Macaca mulatta: one gene and its partners. The protein of the gene in region 2 interacts with the protein of the main gene of each other region in a pairwise test. Links are inferred from orthologs where the notes say so. Each region holds a gene or a part of one and is shown on either strand. Other genes may lie near its edges.

Region 1 (3,746 bases), on a different chromosome or scaffold from region 2:
GCTTTTCACTACTGATGGCACAGTTTCTCTTTGGAGTAACCTACATCTGACGTATTAGTGGCAAAGAAGTAAACCCAGTGTTCTTATAGAATGAAAGGAGAACAGTTCTTGTAAAACAGGATATTACCTTCAACAACTTCTAAGCATAGGAAAAGATCCCTCACTTGAATCTGAATAAGATGTGAATGTTTTGGTCTACTCGTTAGAGAAAGCCAGGAAGTATGGATATATTCTTTATATTGAGGCTATGGAGAAAGTCACCTTATTAGTATTAATTTTTCAAATTTGAAATGCACACATTTTTAAAGCCAGTATTTTCATTTTTTTGTAATTATCTTCTAGTAAAAGTATTGGGAGGTTGGTAATGACAAAAGGATTGATTAGAAAACTTAATACAGCATCATTTGTGAGAGCAAAATACTGGAAAGAAATTTAATGCCCCCAAAAGGGCCAGGTTCAACAATTTTGGGTAAACTTTTTAATGCAATATTATGCAGTCTTTAAAATCTGAAGCAGCATCATAGATTGACAATGTCTTCGAGATATATTCTTTGGCAACAAATCAACTTAGTTCCTGAAGCGTAATGTGTAGAGCAACTTATACCAGGATTTGCTTAAAAACAAATGAAATCATAGACATATCTATATGCTTCCATAAGCAAAAAAATTCCTCTGAAGGGCTAGGCACAGTGGCTTAAGCCTGTAATCCCAGTATATTGAGAGACCGAGTTGGGCAGATAACTTGAGGTTGGGAGTTCAAGACCAGCCTGGCCAAAGTGGTAAACCCCCGTCTCCCCTAAAAATACAAAAATTAGCCAGGTGTGCTGGCACGCACCTGTAGTCCCAGCTACTAGGGAGGCTGAGTCAAGATTATTGTTTGGATCCTGGAGGTGGAGGTTGCAGTGAGCTGAGATCATGCCACTGCACTCCAACCTGGACGACAAAATGAGACTCTGTCTCAAGAAAACAAACAAACAAATAAACAAACAAAAAAACCCTCTTTGAACGAAAGCAGAGCTCTGATAGTGTTTTTCCTATGAGTAGAATTCGGGCCCCAAAATGAGACAAAGACTTAATTTTTGACTGATTTAAACAACTTTTTTTAAATCTTTTTTTTTTTTTTTTTCTGAAGTATATTGTATTCACTCAACTAAATGAAAATTTAAATAATGGCATAAGTAGAAATGAGCACTATGTGAAAAGACAGAGGAGATTCTCAACTTTGGGGGAAATGTCAGGTGAGCTGACCTTGACATTGGTCAGATTTGGGATAGAGCTGAGGATGGCACTGCAAGCAGGGGGTGTTCTGTGATGAAAACCAGGGGCAGGAGTAGTTATGGGAGATGGACGCCGAGGGACTGCTGAGGCCAGGTCAATGAGAGCTGCCTCCTGTTTTGGGAACCCACAAAGTCTGGGTGCTGGGAGCTCCTGGGATGCTCACCTCGTACTCATTGTAATGCACATAGATGCACAGCTCAAACTGTTTGCCATCCTCAAAGGGCACATAATCTGTTGTCTCCTCCAACATCCATATCCCAAACTCACGCCTGTTCATGACCACGTGATTGCCAAAGTGCACTCGGAAACGGAAGGCAATATCTGAGTCCTCATCCATGTCAGTGTAGAAATCCGCCTGCAGCTGTGGGTCGTTGCTGAGGGCAAAGCATGCAGAATGTTGGGCAGGTCCCTCCCTTGTGCAGACACACACTAGACATACACACAAATCCCTTCCCCCCTTTACCCGGGGAAAATGTCTCCGGGTAATTTTCCTGATAATACTGATGGCCAGGTCCCTGTGGGGATGCTTCAGCTCCTCGTGCCCCCAGCAGGGAGATTCTGTGCTCCTCATCCCCAGATGAAAACTGAGTCACAGTCGCTGACCTGGGCCTATGACTTGTTTATTCCCTGAAAATTCGATGCCCCTTGATAAAGAGCCACAGCCCCAACCCACTGAGTGTCCTCCTTCCCTAGGCCCTGTGGCTGGCCCACATGCAGTTGCTACAGGTCTCATGCCTGGTGCTGGAGGGACTCCAAGGACCGGCACCTGTATGGGGCTTCCATCCTGCCAGCTAGACATTTCCACATCACCTACACATAAGGTCAAGCCCTCAGCAAATATTCTCCCTTCTTCTCCAACCCCTCCATTGGACCATGGAGTACTCACATAAAAGAGTCGATTGGTGTCCCTTTGATTATCACGCAGGAACCAACAGACAAAGACACAGGCAGTTTGTATGGCACCTGCCAGAGTATTGAGAGTAAGTGAGAGGTGCAGGGTCAGGTGCAGTCTCCCCTCCTGAAACGTATTCCCATAGTGCAGGAGGTTAGAGATGAAAGGGAGGCTCTGTGGACTCTCCCCTTTCAGCCTACCACAGTCAGGGCCCCATATTCCTGAAGATATGGTGGACCCATAGTTAAGAATAAGCGTTCAGGAGCCAGGATGCCTGGATTCCGGTCGTCATTCTGCCTTTTACTAGCAGTGCAATCTTAGATTTGTTACTTGAACTCTTCCATCCCCATTTTCCCTAGGACAAGGAGAATGATCAGGAATTTCTACTTTGTAGGATGTTTTCCGTAATAGAGAGTTAATACATGTAAAAGTGTTACCCTAATCCCTGGCATGTGTAGGGCCTCTTACGGGTGACCTAACAGAACAGGGGAGTCCTCCTGAAACACTGACCTGCCTTCATTCTCAACTCTGAAAATTAAAATAGGACTTGTAAATGTAAGAATGTAAACATTCACTCCAGTGGGAAACAACACTTGTTGAAAGAGAGAGAAATGATGAAAATGATGATGTTGAGTAGGTCTCCAGAGGCAATTCAAAATTTTTTTGTCGAACATTAGTCCCTGAACTCTATGTCATCTCTTTGTATCTGAGATTTCGTCCTGCCCACCATGAGCAAAAGGTATTATCTGAGATAAAAATGAGTGTAACAGATGACCCGTGTGAGCTGAATGATAAAGGGGATATCACCACTGACCCCACAGAAATACAAACTACCATCAGAGAATACTATAAACACCTCTACGCAAATAAACTAGAAAATCTAGAAGAAATGGATAATTTCCTGGACACTTACACTCTCCCAAGACTAAACCAGGAAGAAGCTGAATCCCTGAATAGACCAATAGCAGGCTCTGAAATTGAGGCAATAATTAATAGCCTACCAACCAAAAAAAGTCCAGGACCAGATGGATTCACAGCCGAATTCTACCAGAGGTACAAGGAGGAGCTGGTACCATTCCTTCTGAAACTATTCCAATCAATAGAAAAAGAGGGAATCCTCCCTAACTCATTTTATGAGGCCAACATCATCCTGATACCAAAGCCTGGCAGAGACATAACAAAAAAAGAGAATTTTAGACCGATATCCCTGATGAACATCAATGCAAAAATCCTCAATAAAATACTGGCAAACCGGATCCAGCAGCACATCAAAAAGCTTATCCACCATGATCAAGTGGGCTTCATCCCTGGGATGCAAGGCTGGTTCAACATACACAAATCAATAAATGTAATCCAGCATATAAACAGAACCAAAGACAAAAACCACATGATTATCTCAATAGATCCAAAAAAGGCCTTTGACAAAATTCAACAGCCCTTCATGCTAAAAACGCTCAATAAATTCGGTATTGATGGAACGTATCTCAAAATAATAAGAACTATTTATGACAAACCCACAGCCAATATCATACTGAATGGGCAAAAACTGGAAAAATTCCCTTTGAAAACTGGCACA
Region 2 (3,746 bases):
TTCACGTGTCTCTCTAAGGAAAGACTTGAAGGTTCTCATAAGCAACTACCCAGCCAGTTGGAAAGGGGAGGAGGTGTCGTTGGGGTAAAGTGTTCTGTCCACCATCAGCCATCTGTCCACCGCTCCTCCCACCTGCCAGTCCCCGCACCCACTCTAGACGCGCAGCAGAATGAGGAAGGTTACAAAAGGAAGCTCTCTCTCTCTTCTAACATTCCTCTCCAGAAAAAGAGGAACGCAACGAAGGGAGTTCAGCTACTTTGTTGGAGCTGTGGACCGGCCCTGCGAGGCCCACGCGGGAGCGGAGGCTCCTGGGTCTCGGGCGCCGGCAGATGGCCTGCAGCGCACGGCCCGGCCCCCACGCTGGCCACGTCCGCCAGCGTCATCTCTCTCCCCCGCCTCCTACCCCTAAAAATCCGGCGGTCGAGTAGCTCCGCATCCCGGAGGGCTCCCGCTGCAAAACTGAGTGGGAAAGAAACGGCGGAGAGCGAGGAGAGAGGGAGGGTGGGGAAGAAGAGCCCGGTCGCCCCCGGCCTTTTCCGGCAATCCCTGTTTCCAGGGCTCTTCCGCACCCCCCCTTCCCCGGTCGAATTACAGAAACTCCTCATTGCCATGCTAATGAAGAGCGGGGGCTGTGGGGAGAGGGTTTCGGAGACTCTCCTGGAAGAAGGGAAGTTTCTTTTCTTGCCCTCGTCTCCTTCACCCCCACCCGAGTTCCTCCCACCCAGCCCTCTGCGCTCTTCCCTCTCCATTCCGCGCTTGGAGAGCCGGTGGCCCAGCCTCGCCCCCTGCCACGGTTCTGTGCGCTCCTCACAGCCCCATGGTCTCCCAGCCCAGCCTCAGAGCAGAGAAGGCGGCCTGGGAACCCGGGGCTCGGTGTCAGCCGGATTCCCCGCCTTCCGGTTGGGCGCGCTCCGGGCTGGGCCCGCGAACCTGCGGCCACCCGGCGAACTCCGGCCCACTAACTCGCGCCCCGAGAGAGCCGGGAGCCCTCTTCCCTTCTCACCTCTCGCCAGTTCATCTTTCAGTGCACAGTGGGGAGGGGGCGGGAGCGGGGGACGCCTCTCAGCCCCCACCTCCCGGAGGCCTGGCGGGGCGGGCAGCGGAGTCGGGCGCGCGCAGAAGGCAGCCTTTGCTCTTCTTCGCTCCAGCACTCCAAATCGGCCGTTGCAGTCGCCGCAGCAGCTGCCGCCGCCTGGGCTGCCTGGGGGGGCGACTGCGCGTCACCTAGACGGCGGAGCGCCGGGGATTTAAATGCCACTGAAACGGTGATCCATCACCGCGGAAGCCGGCAAACTTTTGCAGGAGGCTCAGCCATTGGCTGACACCGTCACGTGCCCCTCCCCTAGCGTCCTCCGCCCTCCCGCCCCCCCCTCTTGCGCACTGTACATTCATATCATTTTTCTTCTCAGGCCCCATGGAGGAAGTGAGAAAGTTGGCACGGTCACCCAGGGCTTCGCAGGACCAGGTCACTCAGTGACAGATGGACAATGCAAGAATGAACTCCTTCCTGGAATACCCCATCCTTAGCAGTGGCGACTCGGGGACCTGCTCAGCCCGAGCCTACCCCTCGGACCATGGGATTACAACTTTCCAGTCGTGCGCGGTCAGTACCAACAGCTGCGGCGGCGACGACCGCTTCCTAGTGGGCAGGGGGGTGCAGATCGGTTCGCCTCACCACCACCACCACCACCACCATCACCACCCCCCGCCGGCTACCTACCAGACTTCCGGGAACCTGGGGGTGTCCTACTCCCACTCGAGTTGTGGTCCAAGCTATGGCTCACAGAACTTCAGTGCGCCTTACAGCCCCTACGCGTTAAATCAGGAAGCAGACGTAAGTGGTGGGTACCCCCAGTGCGCTCCCGCTGTTTACTCTGGAAATCTCTCATCTCCCATGGTACAGCATCACCACCACCACCAGGGTTATGCCGGGGGCGCGGTGGGCTCGCCTCAGTACATTCACCACTCATATGGACAAGAGCACCAGAGCCTGGCCCTGGCTACGTATAATAACTCCTTGTCCCCTCTCCACGCCAGCCACCAAGAAGCCTGTCGCTCTCCTGCATCGGAGACATCTTCTCCAGCGCAGACTTTTGACTGGATGAAAGTCAAAAGAAACCCTCCCAAAACAGGTCAGTCCTGGGGGTTGGTGGATGCTCCTTGATTAATCTGGAAGGAGCTGGTATGCTTAATTTCCAAGGAAAATTAATAATTATCTTTTTTTTTTTAAAGGCTTTAAGACTAGTGTTGTAGTGCATGGAGAGGGTACCCAGAGGTGTTGGGGCAAAGAAGCCTCAGGGATTGGCGTGTTCTCAAGGATTTTATACATTTGGGAAGTAGGAAGTGTGTGGGGGTGGTTATTGTGACGGTAGTGTTCTGTTAATATCTTAAGGCTCCATTAATCACCGATCTGACCACGCTAATGGTTGACTTCAGGTTAACACTTTACACCTCATCACTCACCCTCCACAGCCCGATTTGTGTTGAGTTCTTGATCTTTTCTTTACCTGAGTGTTGCCATGAAGTGTGTAGGTAATCTCAAGTCGGTTTAAAAATTTTTACCTTTCCATCTCATGGCTTCCCACTTTGCCCCAGGGAAAGTTGGAGAGTATGGCTACCTGGGTCAACCCAACGCGGTGCGCACCAACTTCACTACCAAGCAGCTCACGGAGCTGGAGAAGGAGTTCCACTTCAACAAGTACCTGACGCGTGCCCGCAGGGTGGAGATCGCTGCATCCCTGCAGCTTAACGAGACCCAAGTGAAGATCTGGTTCCAGAACCGCCGAATGAAGCAAAAGAAACGTGAGAAGGAGGGTCTCTTGCCCATCTCTCCAGCCACCCCGCCAGGAAACGACGAGAAGGCTGAGGAATCCTCAGAGAAGTCCAGCTCTTCGCCCTGCGTTCCTTCCCCGGGGTCTTCTACCTCAGACACTCTGACTACCTCCCACTAAGGCGGCTCCAGTCCCAGACCACAGCCCAGGCATCTCCTTGGGCTGGGACTTCTTACCCAAAGCACATGCTTAGCTTATCTTTCTTTCCATTTACAGTCTCTTCTTTTCTGATCCTATCTGGGGAGCTCCTGGCCAGGATAATATGTTTGCAGATAATTCTGGACCAGAGACTTGGTGCCGGGTTAACACCTTAATCCAGATTGGGTGCCAGCACACATTTTCTGGTGGGCCTTAACATCCCTCCTGATTTTAGGAGAATTCACAGAACCTACTGTTCCTTTCAGATGACTTTTTGGAAAATAGTTCCCTTTACCAACAGAAACATGCCAGAAGGAATCTTCTCATCTTTTATCTAACTATATGTACAGCTCTCTCCTCCCTTGTCCTTGAAAGTAGGATATAGTGAAAGGAGAGTCCAGGAGCTCACGAAGAAGAGATACACTGTGTGTTTACACAATTAATTCATCCCTTAATTTAAGTCATTTTCATGTGTGTGAGTTTGCTGGTTGTGAATACTTTGTCCTAAGAGATTTATCTTTATACAGATTTTCTAGAAATGTTTAGGTTACTAAAACAGGGTGGGCAAACTCTCAAAACTGGCACAATTTTATAAGTGAAAGAACAAATTTCCTCATTTAAATCCAATCAGATGCCTCAGAGGGTAGCCTCGATTTGTTCTTACAGTTAAGAAGCCCTGCAGAGCACAAAGTTCAGAAATCCAGCTTCCTGTGCTAAGTCTTTCCCAATCCCCACTCCTTTCTTCTTGGGCCACCCTCTGTTTAAAATTTGTGCTGG
Region 3 (3,711 bases), on a different chromosome or scaffold from region 2:
ACTGCCACCTGAACAGGGAAGCTAAGGGTCAGACCTGGGGGCTGGGACCCCAGGAATGTGACACAGCACCCCCTGTGATCACCCACAGTGTCCCGCATCCCTCCCTGCACCCCCGGCCGCAGTCTGCTGCCAGCCCAGAGCACCCCTGTGAAGTGGGGCTGAGGGCATTGGGCCTGCTTGCCCATCTCCAGGGCAGGGGCTCACGGTCTCACTGGCAGCTCTCTTGGGGGAGACAGCTTGGACTCCATGCCTGCCGCCTCCCATCACCCCCTCACCATGGCGGACCTTGGCAGACCTTGGGCCTCAGGGACCCACAGAACAGGCTGTTCTCAGACCACTCAGCCTGTCTTGCCACCTCAGTCCCTTCCGGCCGGGCCTTGCCACTCGCCACCCTCACTGGTCAAGGCTCCAGTGCGGCTGGTCCCTCCAGGGAGCCCCTCCAGGCTCCCACGCTGTGTCACACACATCTGGGGGTGTCCTGGGGGAGAGCCCAGCACTCTGTGGCCCAAAGATGCAGCAGCTCCCTTCTGTCCAGCCACATGCAAGCGTGACCTGTGGACCCACGGTCCCGGGAGGGCCCTGGGCTTGTGTCCTCCATCCCACGCTCTCCCCAGAGTCTCCCCAGCAGGGTCCAGCCCTGCTTTCTGGCTGTTTTGGGGCTAGACTCTGATGGCCCATGGGACAGCTTCCCCACCCCCGGGCAGTTTGTCCAGGCCCCCTCACACGGTGGCCCCCGCCCCCCTTAGGCTCCTGTTTGTCCGACGACACGTCCCCGTTATCAGCGGAGAACACACACAGGAAGTCCGGCTGGGAAGGGCCCATCCCAATCCCGATTACCCGGGACGGAGCATAAAAAGCCGCCCTTCCTCGCCCGGGGGGAGCCTCCCTGCACCAAGCCAGCCCAGCACGGCTGCAAGGGAGGCTCCTGTGGACAGGCCAGGCAGGTGGGCCTCGGGAGGTGCCTCCAGGCGGTCAGTGGGCCTAAGGCCCCAGCAAGGGCCAGGGTCCATCCCCGGTCCCAGGACACAGCAGCGGGCCACCATGGCTACGCCTGGGCTCCGGCAGCATCAGGTACGGCAGGGGTGGCCTTGGAGGGGCAGGGAGCGGACAGGGCAGGCCCCCCGTGCCCCTCACTCCCGCTGACCACGGCGCCTGCTGGCTGCTCCGCAATCTGCTTCCCGGCGAGGTCACAGGGGAGGGGGTCCCGGTCTCCTCCCCTTCTGCACAGAGGAGGCCACTGAGGCCCCTGAGCCAAATGCCTGCTAGCGGGTAGCTCAGTGTAGATCCCAATCCAGTCTGCTGACTCCAACACTTCACCCCCAGCTGCCCTTCCCCTGAACCCCACCCTCTGGCCTTTCTCTCCCTCCGCAGAGCAGCCCCTGGGGTTGGCAGCAAAGTTCAGCTCAGCTGGGCCCACTGTGAGGGACTTAGTGCTACATCCTGGGGTGTCCCAAGGGCTGGGGTCTCCTCAGCTTCTTCCTAGCAGTGGGGTCTGGGGAGGGGAATTGGCCCCGAGGGAGAGGAACCCCAAAGCCAAATCTGTAGCCAGGATGAGCGGTGTGAACCCAGGGTGCGGGACGTGGGGCTCAGGCTTAGTGATGACTTGGTAGGGTGTCATGGGCAAATAGGTGACTCTGTGGGCCCCCCGTGGACCTTGGAGAAGCCCTTGTTCTCCCTCTCCCCAGCCCCATGCAGAGTGGCTGAAGCCCCATCCCCAAACCCCCGGAGTCATAGTGGGTCCCAGAAGGCCCCACTTTTTGTCTCATACGTCCACACCAAGAGGCCTGTCTGAGAACCCCCACTTTCCAAATGGTGGGGCCTAGCCAGGACGGGGGTAGCGAGGGCTGGCTCGGGGCCGCCCCGGAGCTGCCCTTTCTGCTCCATTACCTCTTCCAGATTCAGGCAGGAGACGTGGGGAGGCAGGTCAAAGGGTTAAGTGACCGCAGCTCCAGAGATGAGGCCAGGGGCAGAGGACAGGGCAGGGTGGCTCTTCCCCCCAGAGGCCCCTAGGCTCCACTCTGAACACTTCACTGCCGGGGGCTGGGTAAGAGCCCCGCGTGGGCTCAGGGTGCCAGGAGGCCCAGGACTCCCCAGTCAGATGAGGAACGATCCCTGACAGCAGCTGCTCTGGCCGTCCCTCGGACCACGTGCCAGGGGTTTCCAGGGCCCCTGGTCCAGAGCAGTGGCCACCGGATTGCAGGGTGGAGCGGCCTTATTTTGGGGGCTCCTCTCCAGGGACCTGGGCCCCTCCTTTCCTCCAAGTCTCATGCACCAAGGTAGGACCAAGCTGGTGGCCCTCCTCAACCCATCTGCAGGCCTCTCGCCCAGCACCCTGGGTTTTGGGGACGGACCTCCAGCTCCACTCACAGCAGCCTTTCATCCCCACGCCGGGGAGTCCAGGGCTGGAGGCAACAGCCCCATTTTACTGAGGCCAGGAGCTGTGGATCCGAGAGGACGATCAGCTCGGGACAGGATGGGATCGGGGTAGGTACAGGATGGAGGCCTGTAGGCCTAGTGCAGGTGGAGGTCCCACAGCAGCACCAAAGGCTGGACCCGGGCCATCCCAGCCCCCAGACATCAGGGTGACCAGGACTGTGCATAGGCACTAACCCACACCTCCTCTCCAACCGCAGCCCCCAGGACCGGGGAGGCACAGGTGGCCCCCATCACCCGGAGGAGCAGCTCCCGCCCCTGTCCGGGGGATGACGGATTCTCCTCCGCCAGGTGAGTCCGGGAAAACCCCTTGCTCCCAGGGAACACGTCTCACACAGGTGCCCACACTGGCTACGAGACAGGGCGCTGGCTCCTGCAGGGGTCTGAGGGGCTACTGAATTGGGCTGGCCCAAGCCCCACGTGCGGCGCCCTCAGTAACAGCTGCAACAATTGTGTTGTGGCCATGACCTCATCATCACTAGATCCCGGTGGGGACGGTCATGATGCCCACTGCCTGCGAGGCTGCAAGACCGAGCTCAGTGCTAACCAGCACCGGGTGCCTACCGCGCGGCCCCCCAGTGGCTTAGATAGGCGTCCCGGGGTGATTTTCAGCCTGGGGGCTTGAGAGCTAGCAAAGGGCCCGCAGCCCCGTCAGTGTGGGCGCCCTGGGCGGCCTCTCCCGGCTCCTGGCAGCCGGGCTCGGTGGTCGTGCATCCGCTCAGCGAGCGCCCTGCCGCGGGGACTCGGGCCCTAGGATTCCCGGAGGGGGGCTGGGGGGCTGCGGCTCAGAGGCGCTTTTGCGTCAGCCCCGGGTTCCAGCGGAGTCACTGCCCGCCCGCCGCGGGGCCTCAGTTTCCCCGTCTGCGCAATGGGGGCGGGGCGGGGCTCCGGCGGGGCCGCCAGGTGGGGCGGGGCCGGGGGCGGGGCGGGGCGGGGCTCGGGGCCCCCACGGCGCGGGCTCGGGCGGCAGTGTCGGCGGCGCGTGCGCGCCCCGGATCCGGCGGTGAGTGCGGAGCGAGCGGGGCGCGCCGGGGTCGGGGTCTGCTCGTCGCCCGGGCTGGGGCGAGGGCGGGACCCGCGGAGCCCCCGGGGATGGGGGACCTGGCCCCGCGCGGAGCCGGGGGAGGCTCCGGGACGAGACAGCGCGACCGCGGGGCCCAGAGCGGGGAGCGGGCCGAGGCGTCCGCGGCTGGGTCGGGCCGGGCCGGGAGAATGGGCCCAGCGGCCTCGGGAACCGGCTCCCCCTGCCGGCGGCTGGCGGGCGGCGCGGCGGAGAGG

Evidence for each region.
Region 1: the proteins of HOXA1 (region 2) and LGALS13 interact in binary tests that used the Homo sapiens proteins (3 or more experiments, as listed by UniProt). The two-hybrid records come from large-scale screens. The link is inferred for Macaca mulatta from reciprocal best matches to the Homo sapiens genes HOXA1 and LGALS13.
Region 3: the proteins of HOXA1 (region 2) and EGFL7 interact in binary tests that used the Homo sapiens proteins (3 or more experiments, as listed by UniProt). The link is inferred for Macaca mulatta from reciprocal best matches to the Homo sapiens genes HOXA1 and EGFL7.

The regions. Positions count from the first base shown.
Region 1 is NC_133424.1:50,722,203-50,725,948, forward strand, and holds the start of LGALS13 (galactoside-binding soluble lectin 13), read right to left. Parts: upstream 2,413-3,746; coding exon 2,371-2,412; intron 2,242-2,370; coding exon 2,165-2,241; intron 1,653-2,164; coding exon 1,442-1,652; intron 1-1,441. UniProt on the Homo sapiens protein: Binds beta-galactoside and lactose. Strong inducer of T-cell apoptosis. Has hemagglutinating activity towards chicken erythrocytes.
Region 2 is NC_133408.1:101,251,995-101,255,740, forward strand, and holds the start of HOXA1 (homeobox protein Hox-A1), read left to right. Parts: upstream 1-1,088; 5' UTR 1,089-1,480; coding exon 1,481-2,132; intron 2,133-2,595; coding exon 2,596-2,951; 3' UTR 2,952-3,746. UniProt on the Homo sapiens protein: Sequence-specific transcription factor. Regulates multiple developmental processes including brainstem, inner and outer ear, abducens nerve and cardiovascular development and morphogenesis as well as cognition and behavior.
Region 3 is NC_133420.1:5,826,648-5,830,358, reverse strand, and holds the start of EGFL7 (epidermal growth factor-like protein 7), read left to right. Parts: upstream 1-878; 5' UTR 879-1,071; intron 1,072-2,315; exon of another isoform or gene 2,316-2,484; intron 2,485-2,633; 5' UTR 2,634-2,724; exon of another isoform or gene 2,725-2,760; intron 2,761-3,398; exon of another isoform or gene 3,399-3,436; intron 3,437-3,711. UniProt on the Homo sapiens protein: Regulates vascular tubulogenesis in vivo. Inhibits platelet-derived growth factor (PDGF)-BB-induced smooth muscle cell migration and promotes endothelial cell adhesion to the extracellular matrix and angiogenesis.